2 linked regions of the Caenorhabditis elegans genome follow. The protein of the gene in region 1 purifies or fractionates together with the protein of each later gene. This does not show direct contact. Each region holds a gene or a part of one and is shown on either strand. Other genes may lie near its edges.

Region 1 (8,499 bases):
AAGAGGAAAGAAAATGGAAGAACGTGTTGACTCCGCGCTCATTGAAATTGTTAGCAGGTACAGAATTTTTTATTGGCTTCAAAATTATTGTAGCATAATTAAAGTGCACAAAAATCGTTAGAAATATCATCTACTCAGACTTATAACAAGAATTTTGAAAAAAAAAATTAGTGTCAGTTGCTATAATTTTTTCGGAAAAGATATATATATAGTTTAGAAAATCCACAAATATAGTAAAATTGACGTTTTGTTGAAAAATATGTGACTTACTATTATAGCATTTGAGCTATAGGTGTTCCAGGTGAACTACAGAAGTGAATTACCGAAAATCTAAAACAAATAGCATATTGGGCGGTGTTGTTTGTATCTTTTCTAAACTTCAATCATGTACATTCCTAAATCATCAACGGTTTTCCAGAGTAAGAGGAAATTTGTGCAAAACTTTCATTTAAACAATCTCAAAGTTAAAAATTAGTAACTCGTCGGTTCCGTTAAGCAATTTCCTTGTCGATTTAGATTTATTGATGAAAAACTTGATTTAGTTCCAACAAAACCGTGGGTGGATCTTTAAGAATGAAAAAATTTAAGAAAAATATTCAAATCCTTTATGTCTGACAGACTTTCTGTTTTAAAATACATACTTAACGATTAGACTGGTGTAAGCATTGACTGACGTAGAAGTTGTTGTAGATCTTTAAAATCAATTGAAAACTGCTTTTGCTCGTGTGACGTATGCGGTTTTAAACTTTTTTCTTTACAGATGCCCGAACTTGGAGCGGCTTGCCTGTCGTGAAAGAATGTCCTATGGAACAGCAGTGATTCTTTCGGTGTACGCAGAGAGAATTGGCTTTGGATTATGGATTAGAAAAAATGCGCTGTTGAAACGAGTGAGATTTAATGCAAACCAAATTATTAATTAACAATCTTTTAATTTTCAGATTTGCTGGTGCCGACTTGATATGGAAGCGCAGGCAATTCACTTTGACTGGCTAAAGGCAAGATGTCGTTCCGAAGAGCTTGTTATTGTAACAATTCAGCGTAACACGAATCAAATGAACCCTGTTCTAGATGACAAATCGTACAAATCACTGTGCTTGTAAATCTTTAACGCTTGTAAAAATGACATTTCCCCAATTTCTTGTCCAAACTGTCCTGAGTGATTATTGTATTTGAACCCGTTGCTAATATTTGTATTCAATCATTTATATGTGCCTTCCCATCTATGGACTATCTGAATATAGAGTTACTAGTAATGTATGTATAAAAGTGTGAATGTATAAATAAACGTGATAAGTATGATTTTTGTTTTCGAAAATCGAATCAAGTTTACACATTTTAATCTGATTCTTCTGCAAAGTTACAATTAAGTTTCAATTTGTGCGACGGATACAATCGCATCAAAGCTGTTTTCCATAATTTTCAATGTTAATTCAATATTCAATGTTTGGTTAGATTGTTTAAAAGTTGGCAATCTTTCTGGAAACTTTTTGGAAGCATTTAATTTTTCACATATCTTGTTTAACTAAGCCAAACAGTTTAGCCATTATATAAAATAAACTTTTGAATAAATATTCATATTTAAATAGTATATTTGAATGTTTTTATGTCCCTTTCACTATAGTCTGATTCTTGACATGCACATTCATTCAAGAACTTAGCTTCACCTGAGTATCAAACAAACAATATGTAAAGGTTCCAGTGCTTCTAATGTGACGAAATTGGTTGACATTTCTGAAAAAAATGTGTCCGAGCACCTGCTTTGGTGTGTCCACAAAATTTGAGTAAGTTCCTAGGTATGACTTTTAAACTATTTCGTGTGTTGTACCTCGCTCGTAGACAAAATTAATTCATTCGTTTTACAGAATTAATATGTATCTGACGTAATTTTATAAAAATAGCAGTAAAATTTTCAAAACATCTAGCAGCTGAAGAATGGAACATATTTTTCGGTTGTTTTTGTGTTTTTACAATTTCCAAAAATCATTGTTTACAAGTTTTGTAATTTGTATTTCTTATTGGAATATAATGCATTTTGAATCACTCGAGGCATATCGTGAATCAGCTACCACTCAACAACAAATTTGGAAAACAATTTGCTTTGAGGAAAGAACGATCTTAGAAGTAGATCTCACTTAAGAACATCAGAGAACCTTGTTCCAAGTAAACCGAATTATGATTCAAAAACTAAAGAAAAAAACATAAACTTATTATTTCAAAATTTTCAAGTAAATTTATAAATGTGTTGTAATGTTCCAGTTAAATGTGGTCAGAAACCGTTTAAGTTGATGTGTTTCATTAATTAGCAAAAAGTGTTCTAATAGCATTGGCAAAGAATGACGACCAACTCATTGCGTTTAGATTTGACAATTTTCTCTGTATTTGTTTAGAAAGAGGGAGTACAGTCGCATCAAAATCTGTTTTCCATAGATTTCAATGCTAATTCAGTATACAACGTTACATTAGATTGTTTATAGGTAAACAAACTTTCTTGAAGCTTTTTAGAAACATTTCATTTTTTGAAAAAATCGAAAGATGGATTTACTCAAAGAAGAAGTTATTTCCCAAAACTTCCAGAATGTTCACCTACTTGAAAACAGCCTTCAAATCGTTGAGCGTCTGCATAAACAACTTTCGAACAATACTTAGGGCCTCGAAAAGTGATTACTTCCAAATAACATGTGTCTTGTTAAGAAGTCTGAGAGAGTATAATTTAAACTTTTTCTTTTTCAGCCCAAAAATAAAGTTTTGAAGCAATTTGAGGCACGAACATTTTGAATGCACGAAATCCATTAGCACCTTTTTTCGTGTTATGCTGGAAGGAACTTATATAAAATGTCCAAAGAAATGATAATTTAACCAAAACTAGAATTTGATTTGCAATTTTATGTTTTGAAAACACTACTTCTAAGCTCATAAGGTGTCACGTAAAGTTTTCAAAATGGTTAACATTTTTTGGGACAGGTATACTACACAAGTATAATACATTTAATACAGTAGCAAAGTCCAATTGATGTTTTTCCGGTTTTTTAGACTTTTCTTGATAAAAATGGTGAAAGTACTTAACCATCCAACTTTGATAACTGCAGTTTTTTGAAAAAGTTGATTGTCTTCATCAGATGGAAGCTCTAATTGTTGTTCAAAATCGTTCGAGACAATTTTTTGAGGTTTAGAAATAATTTATGGTTTTCAAAATATTTGTTTATTTTATAATGAATATATGATTGAGTACAACGTTGAAATTTTCAACTTTGCTCTTTGATAGAGCACCAATAAAATTTAATTTGAAAACCCATTTTTTGGGATAATTGATTTGATATGACAAAGTTTATCAGTAATGAGATAGACGAGGTATTTTGGTCAAAAACGCCTACTCTTACTTTTTAATCGGGAATTACTGGATTATATCTGGATACTATGGAATCACAATTTTAGTATGTTGTTGGTCAGCAATGATAAAATACCCGAAATTCCTTTCACCACCAAGAACGGATTAAATCTGCAAAATGAATGAATGGACTAGTTGTTTTTTTGAATGAAACACCTCCAGTTGATGATTTTGTACACATCACTTCTGTTTGGTTTTTGCTCTGTCCACCAACAATTAACCCAACTTTTCTTCGCTAATTGCTCTGGCTGCTAAAACAAAACGAAATTTGTGTTGGAAGAACAGGAACATGGAAAAAAGAGTTTGGAAGCAAAATCACGAAATATTAATAAAAACCTGAATAGCTTTGTCCATATATAAAAAAAGAGTATTGAGAAAACAACAATGGTTTTGAAAATAATAATTTGTAAAATAAAATGTCCATGTTCAATTATTCAACCTGCTCCCAAAAATCAAATATGTTTAAAACTATACAGACGATCTTTTTAACATTTTAGTTATGATTTTGATATTTTCTATAAATTTTTCGAAAATCAAACAATCTATCAAGAACTTCCAAAAAGCCACATAAAACATTTTAGCTTGGTTTTTTGTTCGGCATTTTTCAACAACCTTTCTTGGTGCACAAAACGTTTGTGAATAATTCAACAACAATTTTTCCATCCGACTGCTTATCCATTATATTTTGCAAAATAATTTTTTTCATGACAAAACTACTTTAACATTTTGAACTACACATTGATTTCTGCATTTTTCAAAACTTCTTTGATTCAAACCTTAAGCAATGAGTTGTGATTCATTCAAATTTTCATAAAATTGGAAACATCATTCGCCTCAAAAAATCATTTGTAGTTTCTAGCGTCTGAGAAATCCAGAAATCCAGATCATCCTAGGCCTCGCCCCTTTCCTTGTAAGTGCGGCTATAAAGGGCGGTGCTTTTCAATATCTCTCCCATTCATTTTCGGCTCCAGCTCTAGCCGCTCCACGTTCAGTCTTCCTGCTGAGCACCGCCCCCTTTTCTTGAGCACCTATTTTTTCTGCAATTAGCGGTTTATTTAAAAACTATACGCAGTTCAGAATGTCGTTCTCTTTCTTTATCATCGTAGTTGTATTCGCCGTTCCATGTGCATCCAATATTCTCATGCCACATAGCTTTTTTGCTACGAGGTCCGAATCAGCAATGGGGAACCCTACGAACTATCAAGCAATGAATGACGGAAAAAATAATGAAATGATTCCAACCGCTTTTGAGGGGCCCAAAGACGATCTCGAAAGTGGAAACATCAATAATTTTGAAACGTAAGTTTGTCATTATTTTTTTTACAGCACTACTTCTAAACATAATAATTTCCAAATTAAACTTGTAATTTTAGTGAACATGCTCGAAACTGTTTCTTCACGCCGGTCCAATGTATGCTGCCTATGACCGATTCTCACAAAGACGTTCAATCACTCCACGGTGTGTATTCTCCAACCGCTACCCAAGTTCGCCGGAGTGTTGACACTATGCTTACCTCTCCATGGGGATATACGGATCTTATCAAACGTAACGGCGACAACCGATTCCTCCAATGGCTCAACAGATTTTGAGTCGAAAATTTCTGTTTTTATTGTAATTTATTGAGCTTCCTTTCCCCCGTTCAATAAATCAGTTATCGAGCATTTGTCTCTTTGTTTTTTTGTGGTCCCAATACGGGTTTTACAATTAGAACGCTTTCAATAAAGCTTTTTTGTTTGATTCACAACAACAACCATTATACAAAAATTAATTCATTGCATGCTTTTGACCTAACATGAACAAAATAATACAATTTGAGTAATTTTATGCAAAACCAAAAAATAACATGGTTAATGCGTATTGTTAGGATGAACTGGAAATTAAAAAAAAGAGCGAAAAAAAAATGCACAAAAAATATCAGAATTGTTTATTTCTTACAGTTGCGTTCTATTTCAGTTGCATTTCATCAATAGATATGCCATGTTTTTTGCGACAAATTAGAAAATTGTAAATTTGAACGTTAAAAATTCAAAAATACCAGAGCCACTAACTCCTTCACTTAAGAAGTAATAATAGGAAAATATTGTTGTTGTAATTTTCGATTTTTTTAATTTACTTGAATACTTCAATTGAATAATCCAAGCAATTTTAAATTAATTTACTCAATGTTTAGCATAATGATTATAGTTTTCTATAACCGTCCGTGTTTATTTCGATTTGATTATAAAGTATGTATATGATCTAACCTCTCAACTTCCGTGTAAACTCTCACGGCACTTCATTGAAAATATCAAACTGCGTAACGTACTCGGGATTATTTAAATGAATATCAAAAATAGCTCAATCCCCCTACGCTGTTCTCGAAAATATAGGATTTAAATAGCAAATCCACACCGAAAGTTTGAAGAAAGTGATATTATTCATCTTACACATTTCGTCAAGCACTATTGGATTATAAAAGTAACATTGAAATATGCCAATGTTACAGCAGACAATGTTGCACTCGGTGCATTTTCGATACCGCAAACTCTAGAGCAAACTAGCTGGGTGATTCAGATGAAGCACATGCTTTCATTTTGTATTCCTCACTACATTCTACGTGTCCCAAAAAGCGGATGTTTGTTATAATTGAATTTCGTTTTTAGGAAAAAAAAAACTCAAGATGGTAGTCGAAAATGTTGAGTTTGTAGTATCTTGGATTTCAGAATCTTGTTAGAATCCAAACTTGAATTTTAAATTATTTATTGAAAATTCAAAGTCCCTACAATTTGCGTCATTCATCCAACCTACAGACTCTAATTCAAATGATGTCATGTCATTTTCAGCAAGAGAAGTTTATGAATAAGCGACTTTGAAGATTATATTGGAGCTTGGAGGTCTGAGAGGAATCAATTTGTCTGAACTTTATTTCTCGGAGAAGCTGGATCAAACATGCAAAATATCATTGAACAGTTGGAAGTTCCGGTACTTGTGTGTTATTTCTCCTCAGTATAAAATTATTAATTTTAATGAAACTTTATGTCCATTTTCCCTCTTTTGGTTTAGAAATAGAGATTTCCTAAGCCTAAAAATACAAAAAACTACACACGTTTTATTTATAATTTTATTTATTTTTAATCAGGAAAAATAAAACACTAGTACCGGAGTTCCTTATTATAAGTGAATTTAGTATCAGTAAATTTTATTGAAATGAAAATAATCATGTTTTGGAGTTTATTAAACATTTAGGAATACACAAAGTTTCCTTTTTCTCTCACTCACAGTTTCAATGTTTTCCAATAGAGTGCGCTAAAAATATGTATATTTCGAAATTTCAAAGAAATAGTGTAGTCGATCTATACTATACTCTCTACTACCTTTACTATACTACTCTATACTTCGAACTATACTGGAAAATTCGTATTCGAATTTTGAACAGCTCGTACGACTTTTTTTGTCCCAAATATTTTTCATTCCGGATTTAATAAATTTAACTTCTTTTAACCCCTTTTTAAAAAATTGAACAATTTCGAACTTCAGACAGAACTACATTTTCCGCAGCCAATAGTTGGAATCTGTAGATTTAATTTCATTGGTTACCTGCATAATTTTTACTTGAGATTTTGTTTTGAAACTAATTTCACCGTGTTTACTTTTCAATCGATATTCAGAATTTTATGCTTAATTGCCAAGTTTATTTTTATAACCAACGAAAGCAAAAATAAGCTAATTCACAGTTTCCCATGGACTAGAAATTATCGTAATTTCTAGATATTACTCGGAAGTGAGACAAACCACACACGTAAATTACAACTAGGAAATTGTATCAAAGTAGAACCAAGTTTTATTTGACAATGAGAAAAGTTACACAATGAGTAGATCAAAAAAGTGTGTTTTGTTTTCTTTCCCTGTAATTTGAGATCTTTTTCATGGCATAAGACTATTTCTTGTAGTCCTCTAGGACTTTGGTTATATTTTTAATCAGTTAGAGCAGGTTTTCATACCTTATTTTAAGAAGCTCTGCTAGATTATTTACCGATTAGCTATTTCAACTCTACGCTAATATTTCCATATTCACAACACAAGTAGTAGCAGCTGCAATCAACTTGAAGTGTTGATATGGGCCGAAAACAATGGAGCTATTATAACGATACGTATTTTGTGTAGGGTTCAAGTATTGCTTTGGATCAAAATAATGCAAAAATAAACCAGGAATTCACGTAGGAAAGGGATCATATAAAAGACATTTATCTAAAAAAGAAAATAATTACTTTACGATTTAAGGGTTTATGAAAAAGCGCTTAACATTTTCGATTGAAAAAATAGAAAACTTCAAAATACATTATATCAGTTGCGTGGGCTTGTGTTTTCTTTTTGTTCTTTTTAAACTCATCAATAAAATTTATTAGGATTTGTTAGCCCCACCAACTAAAGTCAGAACTGTAGTAAAGTACAAACGCATCAAATTTTTGGTTTAAAACCTTATTCGAAGCGTTAAACAAAATAGGATTTTACTTAACTTCACGTCATTTTCAAAACATCTCCCAGATTATGTAAGTAATTGCCGGGACAATGGAATGTCTATGACAAGTAGTTTGTTCACATTTTCATTTGTTATTGATGAGGTGGTCGTTGGGTCGCTGTACAAGTAGTATACGTGCTGCAAATTGGGTACGAATCATTACTCTAAGATGAAACTATATGGTTCTAACATGCGATCTGTTGCATTATTGCACACGTGCAGTAAGTATTAACAATTTCAGGCGTTTTCTCACGAGCATTCTTTGGAAACTAGTTGACTCTCGCGTTCTTGGAATCTACAATAATATTCTCAAAACAAGGAAGTGAGAACAAAATAAAGAGTGCAAATAGATTCCAAGCCGATGCGATCCTCGAATTTTCTTCTTCTAATATTACACAGTCATTTTTTTAGGGTACATAATGGACTTTGGTTGACTAACACAAAACTGAATGAAATAAATCTTTAAAAGCATCAAACTTCACTAAAACTCGATGATGTGCAAAATCCGAGTTGATCTGGTGGGAAAAATGAATGGGCGTTGGAAGGCATCAAGAGAAAACATATGATCAGATGTGTGAGCATGCCTACTTCGATTTAATTAACATAACGGTAATT
Region 2 (8,634 bases), on another chromosome or scaffold:
ATTTACAAAGTTCAAAGAAAATAGTTCTATTTTCAGACTGTGCATATTCTATACACTATATGCAAATCAATGCTGTCAGTAACGTAGACATATGTCTTGGGTTACTGTATCACAAAGATCAAATCACTTAAATTTGCGGCAATCATTTTTCAACAAGAATCCCAAAAAAAGAACTCGGCAAATCGGTCCAATTTGTTAGCGTACTCTTGCAACTACTGTTGAGCACTTTAAATTTTCAACAAATTTCTAAAGATTTTCAGACCATTTTTTAAATTTCTATTGAATTAATTTTCTAAATTGCAAAAATTTGCTATGAACTTGCGACGTTTTGTCAAGAAGATGCCTCTGACGTCAAATTTTTCCAGATCTCAATTCAAAATTCAACTCTATATTTAACTCTCAACTGAGTTTGGAATATGTTTTATGATGTATGAAAAACATTAATTTTTTTTGCAAAGTATATAGGAGTTTCAAGCATTTAAATTGGTCAATTGGACAGAAAACAAATTCAAAATACATTTTTTATCAAGAAGTTGAATATGTGGGTAGATCACTCGTAAAATTATAGCCTTGCGGAAAATGTGAAACGAAACAAAACTTTAAAATTTAAAGTAAGAAAATGGCAAAATCGGAAAAAAAATGAGGGAGCTGAACGATTTGAGTAATCACACGTTTCTTTTCAGGGGTTTATAAAATATCGAAAATCGTTTCATATTCACGGTATAGGTGCGGTGAAATCGAATTGTTTCCAATTGTACGACCTGTCTTACAATGATTAGAAAAAAAATAAGTTTTTATTTGTATGGTCCATATAACTTTCCTTTCAAAGGTTTTCAATGTTCAAAGTAGACATAGACCCAAAAAAAGATTATTTCTCTTTAACATAAAACCTGTCTGAATAAAAATCTTGGATGCCGTTAATTTTCAAGGACTAGATAATAGCCTGTAAGCCTATAGGTAAACCATTTTTCTGTAAAACTGTTTAATTCCAACATTCGTGTCTGCGCATCAATGTAGAACACTTATTTGACTTGCAAATAGACAAAACAAAGATAAATGTGACAGTCGCGTATTTCTTTTGATAGGGACAAAAGCTGTGTGAATAATATCACGAGAGAAAACTCATGACAGTGAATAAAAGTGCATGGTTAATGTCCAGAAAGCAAATATTGAATGGTAATTTGACATTCAATTGTTGAATGTAAAAAGACTTATTCATATCTCAGTTTTTATGCGACTATTGTAGTGATTCAAGTACTTCATATTTATAGTAATAATAACTCCAAATGATACCAAATTTAATCTATTCGAATATTTTCAGTTTTATTGTTGTTCACTAGACATCCCCTTTGATGAGAACGGGACGTTTTCCTGGCCCTAATATTCGTCTTCCTAATGCCTACACCGGCAACTTTTTGTAAATTGTTGTTTTTGTAAATTGTTGTTCGGTGTTTTGCAGAGGAAGAAGCTGGGAGGAGACTGTGTCTCTCATTTTGGTGGGTATCTGAAGCTGTCTAAATACGTGAATTTTAAAGTGGCGTGCAGAGGCGTGACGTCATATATGAACGTGCAATTTCAAAAAATCCGTATTCATAATCACTTTTGGCCCTGACTTTTTAATTTTTTTTTCCACTCAAGCCTTTATTTTCTGCCAATTATGCTTCCAGTTCACTGGACAATTTTGCAACTCAACCAGAGCCATGCCATGACACTAAATAAAATTTGAAACTGGTTCAGTAACCTTTCACTGCTGCTCAAAATGTTGCTCAAAATTTGAGTTTATTTTTGCTTTTCAAAAGTTTCAATGTTCCCATCGATTGCAGGTAAGAAAGTTATATTTCTTACGTTTTCTCTTTAGACCTGTGATAAAATTAAATTTTGTTGAAGGTTCTAACAAACCTGGTGCTTCTTCATCAACACTGAGATGGCAGAAATCAACGAGGAGGATCTCATATGTGAAGTTACCTTCTATTCAGTCAAAAGGGAAACAAGGTCAAGTAAGTTATCTGAATAATAGTAACATTTCAACGTAACAGTACATTTTTTGACTGAAAACTTAATGTTTAATATTTAAAAAATTTATTTCGCTGTGAGACCCGCTTGAATGTTTTGTTTATTGTGAAGAATAACCACAACATGAGTAATTAAAAATATCTATGGAAAACTAGAAACTTTTCATATTACAGAAAGTAACCTCTGTCCCTTCTGAAGATGAACCCATACCATCTGATCCTGGACCATCACTTCCTCCGATTCCAACAATTACACCGTCATTGTGCATTGATAATCAATATTTTTCAAACTATATCAGTGAAAAACCAAAAATGGACGATGTTGACTATTTGAGCAGAGCGTTCAGTTCGTAAGTTTACTATTAAACAACATTTTTTTCGATTTGTATTCTATAGGATCTTCCAAAAAATGGTGGTTGAATGTTTTATCCTGATTATATGAAAAGATATTAAAGTTCTGAAACAGTAAATTTTTTTTTTCATCACGAAGTCCGCGACTATTCTTGGAATTTATCTTTGGAATTTTTAAGGCGGCTAAATTAAAAAAAATATTTTTTTCGGCTTCGAATTCTACACATATTCGTGTTGTGAGATTGAATTGATGAGAATTTTAAGTATAAAAATTCACAAATGTTTCATAAGCTTTTTCACTGTTTCACCGGTTGAGATAAACAAAAGCTTTAAAAAATTTGCAATTAGTCTCTTGTCCCGCAAAAAAGTTATTTAATAGCTTTTGTGAAATCTTCCAAAATTTATAAATTACAAAAATTACTGAACATAATCACTTCCCTGATATTATCGAAAAAATACGATCGCACAAATTTCTCATAATATATTTTTGATCTACCTGTTGATCTTGTTGCCGTTGTTATTTTGTTGTGGCTGTCTTGTCAAAGGAAGAGGAGGAGCCTAGTCAACAAGGTAAATCAAAAATAAATTATGAGAAAATTGTGCGATCGTATTCTTTCGATAATATCTCATAGCGATCATACTGTTGCCGGAGTATGATGAACTGTAGATTACTGTAGTATCGCGACGAGATATCCGGTACCTGGTTTGAGAAAGTTCTTTTCAGAAATTTCAATTTAGATTTGCGAAAATCCAGGGAAATCTACATGCTCAGAGAACAAACTATTTCGAGAAGCGGGGACTTCTTGATGCTATTGAATTGTGAGTTATTATGGGGACGCAGAAGAGATTTCAAAGGAGCAGAATGTTCCCTTTGAAATCGATGTGGAAACGCGCTCCACAGCCAATTAAAACCGCCCCGCCTCCCACAGTTGGGTCTCGTATTAGGTGCCAAGACTGTAAATTTAAACTTTTCAGTTAGTTTTGCCGATTTTGTCAGCTATCAAACATTTTTGTTATTTTTTCTGTTGTTTGTTAAATGATTTTCGTGCCGAATTAATTGTTATAAATGCATGTTTAGGCCAGCAGGAAACACATCAAAATAGACGGAGAATGATTAGAAAATGGTAATAATTATATTTAGAAATCGCTCGAATTTTCAGTTTTCCCGCCAAATACCTAGCGAGATAATATTTGCTCATGTGTACTTTAATGCAAAAATAATTTTTCCAGGAACATTGAGCAGCAGAATAATAAAATCAGTGAGGCTCTTGGATGCTTGGCTGTTTGCAATGAAGTAACCGAGAAGTATCAATGTGCTCTGGACAATTCTTTTCAGGTTTTAGTCGATGATTTCTCGGAGAAAGCCTTTAAGTTGAGCAGCTTGACAACTCAACTTCACGCATTACGACAGACTCATCACGCGAATCAGTAAGTGAAGTTTGTTTTGTTTCGCTCTGATGTTGAGAAATTGCAGGCAAGTTCGCAAAAATGAGGAATCTCAACTGGAAGAAATAGCGTGGCGTATTGAAAGGGAAGAAAAGAGAATCAAGAAACTCGACGGAAAACTTTGGAAATTTTATGAGAATCGAGATGGAAAAGGAAAAGATACAACAAAAGAAAGTGCATGAAAATATAAATTAAATCCCAAAATGGACATATAAAATAAAGATCATCTCAAATTATTGGAAGTCTGATAAAGAGCACGACGACCGGGAATTCGAGCACATCAGTTCAACGATTTTTCAGCCAAGTGCCACAGCCCATCGTTCAAATAATGAAGATTTTCAATTCCGTTTCCTTTATTCACAGATTGAATTTCCTCACTGCTCATTGACATCAAACCAATTGCCAACGCATGTTGCTTTCCTTCAGCCATCACAGCAACCACTGAATCCTTTGGTACGAGAGGAGTGAGTTTAGCTCCTGGCGATGTTAATCCAGGACACATTATTGAAGATCCGTTCAGGATGAATTTGATGGCACCTTTGTCGACCTGAAATTTGAATTTTCATCAATAAATGGAAATGTTGAACCAGGTAAATAATCAATTTATAACCAACCTGTTGATGTGGAAGAATGAATGGATACTTGTGAAGTGTTCTCAAAGTTGGAATGTAATCAGTGTTACGTGTTTTAACAAATCGCACGACACCCAGATGATCGGCGAGCAATTCAATGTGATCCTTGCATTTGATCACTTTGAAATTCTCCTTTTTCGGGAGGATCTCCTCAAGATGTGGCTCCAAGTAGGGGAAGTTCTCGATCAGCTTCTTGCGAATTCCTTTCTAAAAATTTTTATAATTATTAGTTAATTAAAATTAAAGATGATACCTGAACACTGGACTTGAGCTGAGTAGCGCCTGTCACATCTTCCTTCTCGTCGAATTTTTTGAACATGGTTCTTGAAAAAAAATTGTAAGATTTGAACTAAATGAAAACAAGGATAAGTTTAAAAAATTGGTATACAACCAAAACAAAAGAATTCAGCAAAATAAAAACAATGTTAAAATTCATATAACAAATTAAGGCTCAAAGTGAAGTGTCAATGGAATGTGTTAAATAAAGTATTTAAAACCTGTGAAAGAAAAAAAACACGGAATGAAAACAGAAGATGATACGAAAAGCTAAAATCACTAGAATTCACACTAAAAATTAAATACTAATATTTACATATACAGATTTAATAATAAATACAGCGAGTCCTGTGGAACGGGACTTTCTTTTCAACATCCGCAGCATAAAGTCGACGATATCCCCAGACATAGACATCAACTTCCATGGCGTTAACTTCACAAACATCAGAGAATCTTGGATCGGTTTCACGAAGTTCGTTCATCTTGGCGACAATTTCCTGAAAATTTAGCGTTTAATACAACAAAATTTCAGAAATATCTGGAATCTTACATCGCAAACTGCAATAGATGCTCCTCTGAGTTCAACTTCCGCTTTTGATCCATTCTCCAATCGTTTTCCTTCACCCAATTGGCTCAAAAGTTCTTCTGAATAATCCAGAGCACCAAGATAAGCGAGAGCTTGCGGAACACGATAGTCAGCAAACATTGTGATCGTGGTAATATCCTTGAAATTTCCCGCATCATCGTGACCTTGAAGGGATCCATAGACATCCGCAACGAGAATCTGTGCTCTCTTCAGAAGCGAAACTTTTTGTCCGTTGAATTCGGCAAAATCGCGGAAAGAGACAAAGTTTTCGACGATTAATTTCAGCAAAGTTTGAGCGGATTTCTCTGATTTTATAACACAATTATAAAATTGTCCATCGAATTTCTCGAGAAGAACTTTTCCTGAATCATTGATAGCCTTCACTCGATCGTCAAGTAGTGGAATTGAGTGTCCTGAATCGGATTTGAAAATCCTGTCGATTTCTTCTCTGCCAACATTTTTCATCCATTCAGCAGAAAGTACTGGAATTCCGGCGGCTATAGCCTTGTTGACAGCGGCACATGCTGCGAAGTAACCAGTGTAAGCTTTTCCACCCCAGCTAACATCATAGTGATCTCCCTCATCCGGCCAGAATGAGAAATTGATTGTATCCACCAATAATACCCTGAAATTAATTCAATTTAATATGATTTCAAATTTAAAAAGATCAGATTTGAGGAATAGTTACAATTTAAGTTTTCTCACCACTGGACGGCATCTTTATCTCCACTTTTCGGGTGTAATTCCGGCGATAAGAAAAGAGCTTCTTTCAGAGATCCATCTTTTGCAGCTCCGAGAATCTATAAATATTAATCTACATTCATTCAACATTTATTTTTAGGATTTACATGTTCTGCTACTTTTCGAACGCCTGCCTGGTTGATTTTGACGAGATTTCCATGCTCGACGATGAATTTTCCAGATTCCGCAGGACCGAGGACTTCGTCAATAAGCATTTTCTGACCTAAAAAGTGAAAAATATGTGACAATTCTACCGAGTAGTAAAAAATGAAAATAAAAATTTTAAAGAGAAAAACGTGTTTGTTACGACGCTCCGCAGATGTGTCTCTGCGTCTCCTCCTTCTGCACAGTGCCTAGCAAATTGTCGTACGTTAAAGTGTCGTGTACGCAATGCAGACTGAAACACATTTTATTTCTCGACAAAAAATGCTGTATTTTTATATTTAAAAAATTAAAGTCGTCGTTTTACAGCTTTTTCAGATGTTTTAAAAAGTATTTCTTTAACTAAAAATCAATTAAATTACCCACTAATAGTTTCGCTAATAAAAACATTTTTCTTGATTAATCGTACAAAATTAAGGACTACATTGGAAACCTGAAAAGAAAACATCTGAAAAATTTTATATACGAAACCAATAAAAATCTGTTCATTCGGTGAAAGCACAATTAATATTCGTAAAGCGTTTTTGAATACCTCGTAACAATATAACCTGAATACATTAAAAAAGATAGATCAACAAGAGAATGTAAATAATTAAAAAATGAACTAATCAACAAGGGAATTCCACCATTTTTCAATATCTTTTGTCGTTTCACATGGCATAAGTGGTCGAGGGCTTCCATGTGTCGGTGGTACAGGCAAGGATGGAGTTATCACCTACAAGTTTTGAAAACCATTTCAAGAAAATGAAAGTGAAAGAATTACCAATGGTGAATGCTCTCCATTAAAATCATCAGACAAGTTTTTGGGAGAAAATGGAGAATCTTCTCCACGTTCTTCTACGTCAGGTAGATCATAGACGTTTAGCTGGAGCTGAAATTTGGAATATATTATTACGAAAACAACATTTTACATTTTACTTTAAGCTGCAAAACACACAGACTAGATATTAAAAAAATAAAAATAAAAAAAGGCATTGACACGAACTCACATGAAAATTCTTTGGCTGTCCGGAACCCTTTCGGATTTCAGAATTAGCTCGTTTCGGAAGCAACTGGACGGTTTCAGGCGATCGCGACTGCAATGGAAATAAGAAAAAGCGGTAGGCAAAAATGGGTGGAGGCTGGGAGTGTTTTGTGTGAAGCAGTTAAAAAACTAAATTTGAAATAAAAATATTACTCTTTCAATTATTAAACAAGATGGAATTTTGCGGTTAATCTAACGTTGCAACTTTATCAAAAAACTTCTACAACTTTATCAAAAGTAAGATATAACCATATATAGATTTATTAGTAAAAATTTAATTTTTTAAGAATACAATTAATAAAACTGTTAAGTGTCTAGTTAGGGTTAGTTAGTTTGGGGGTTATTCAGATGGGATATAAAAACCAAACAAAACTCTGACTGTACAGAGGACATGAATCACTACAAACTACAAACTACACTCATCATTTAAAAAGTATACTTAGAAATTCAAAAAATACCTTGACTTGTTTTTTCTCACTCGAGCTACCAACCATGAACTTTCGAGCAGCTTCTTGAAAGAGACCAGTTCTCTGAAAATTGGATATGAAATTTAAAAATAGTTAGGCTTATAATCTTTGACTCTCAAATATTAGTTCAAAAACTAACCGAAAGAACATCTGGAATACTTCCTCTTCGATTCTTAACAGCAGCCTTCTTCCTTATTGGAGGTGGAGTTTCTTCTTCACTACTCTCCGTCTCTTCTGTATCAACACTATCTCCTCGAATATTTTCAAATCGAAGTCTTTGTGCAACAGTTTCCTCATGTGAAATTGAAGAATGTCCTGATGAATGAATAACCGGATGTCCTCCACCAAATGGAAGTACTCCTTCTGCATCTTTTTGACTTGGATTTCTCATTTTACGAAGACATCCTTCCAGCCATGTTCTGATTGTTTGTTTTGCGACTTCTTCTTCAATTATAAACTCGAGTTCTTCTCTTTGTAACAATTCTTCAAGTTGCAAAGATTTTCGAATATCAACTGATCGATAGGATAGCATACTGGAAAAAGTAAAATAACACTGTTTCAAACATCTCTTAAAGTCTGAACTTCTTATAGACCTATATTATGATTGTAATTCTCATTTCAAATATCCTTTATTTTATAAAAAAAAAACAACAAGTTCTATCGATAAAATTTCAAAAAGTTAATTCGTGCAGTTTTTGGGAAATATCTGTTTTTTCCGCAATTTACAGAAATGTACGAGGTTTAAAAAAATTTCAGAAGTGTAAAAAGCATTTTCAGTTCTTGTTTTTTGATATTTATTTTGTCACAGACTAAATCAAAGTATACTGTCAAAATAATTTTTCAAGTTTTATCGGAATTTGCTGAAAACATCAATTGTTTCCATTTGTATGGAATGAATAGATGGAAATGAACCTAACAAATTCTAGTTTCTTTAAAA

The links.
Region 2: the proteins of nlp-91 (region 1) and C11D2.7 fractionate together in Caenorhabditis elegans (co-fractionation; one large-scale study listed by BioGRID). This does not show direct contact.

What each region holds. Positions count from the first base shown.
Region 1 is NC_003284.9:8,220,867-8,229,365, reverse strand, and holds nlp-91 (Neuropeptide-Like Protein), read left to right. Parts: upstream 1-4,349; 5' UTR 4,350-4,463; coding exon 4,464-4,684; intron 4,685-4,758; coding exon 4,759-4,975; 3' UTR 4,976-5,051; downstream 5,052-8,499. Other genes in the region: K02A6.3 (F-box domain-containing protein), read left to right, coding at 1-57, 761-887, 939-1,100.
Region 2 is NC_003282.8:6,150,633-6,159,266, forward strand, and holds C11D2.7 (PUA domain-containing protein), read right to left. Parts: upstream 4,765-8,634; 5' UTR 4,761-4,764; coding exon 4,695-4,760; intron 4,649-4,694; coding exon 4,424-4,648; intron 4,357-4,423; coding exon 4,090-4,356; 3' UTR 3,992-4,089; downstream 1-3,991. Other genes in the region: C11D2.3 (BLOC-1-related complex subunit 5), read left to right, coding at 1,805-1,823, 1,888-1,997, 2,187-2,362, 3,102-3,182, 3,594-3,791, 3,838-3,991; C11D2.4 (Queuosine 5'-phosphate N-glycosylase/hydrolase), read right to left, coding at 5,044-5,214, 5,268-5,928, 6,009-6,103, 6,152-6,259; unc-77 (Sodium leak channel NALCN), read right to left, coding at 6,811-6,921, 6,970-7,077, 7,196-7,282, 7,689-7,760, 7,837-8,230.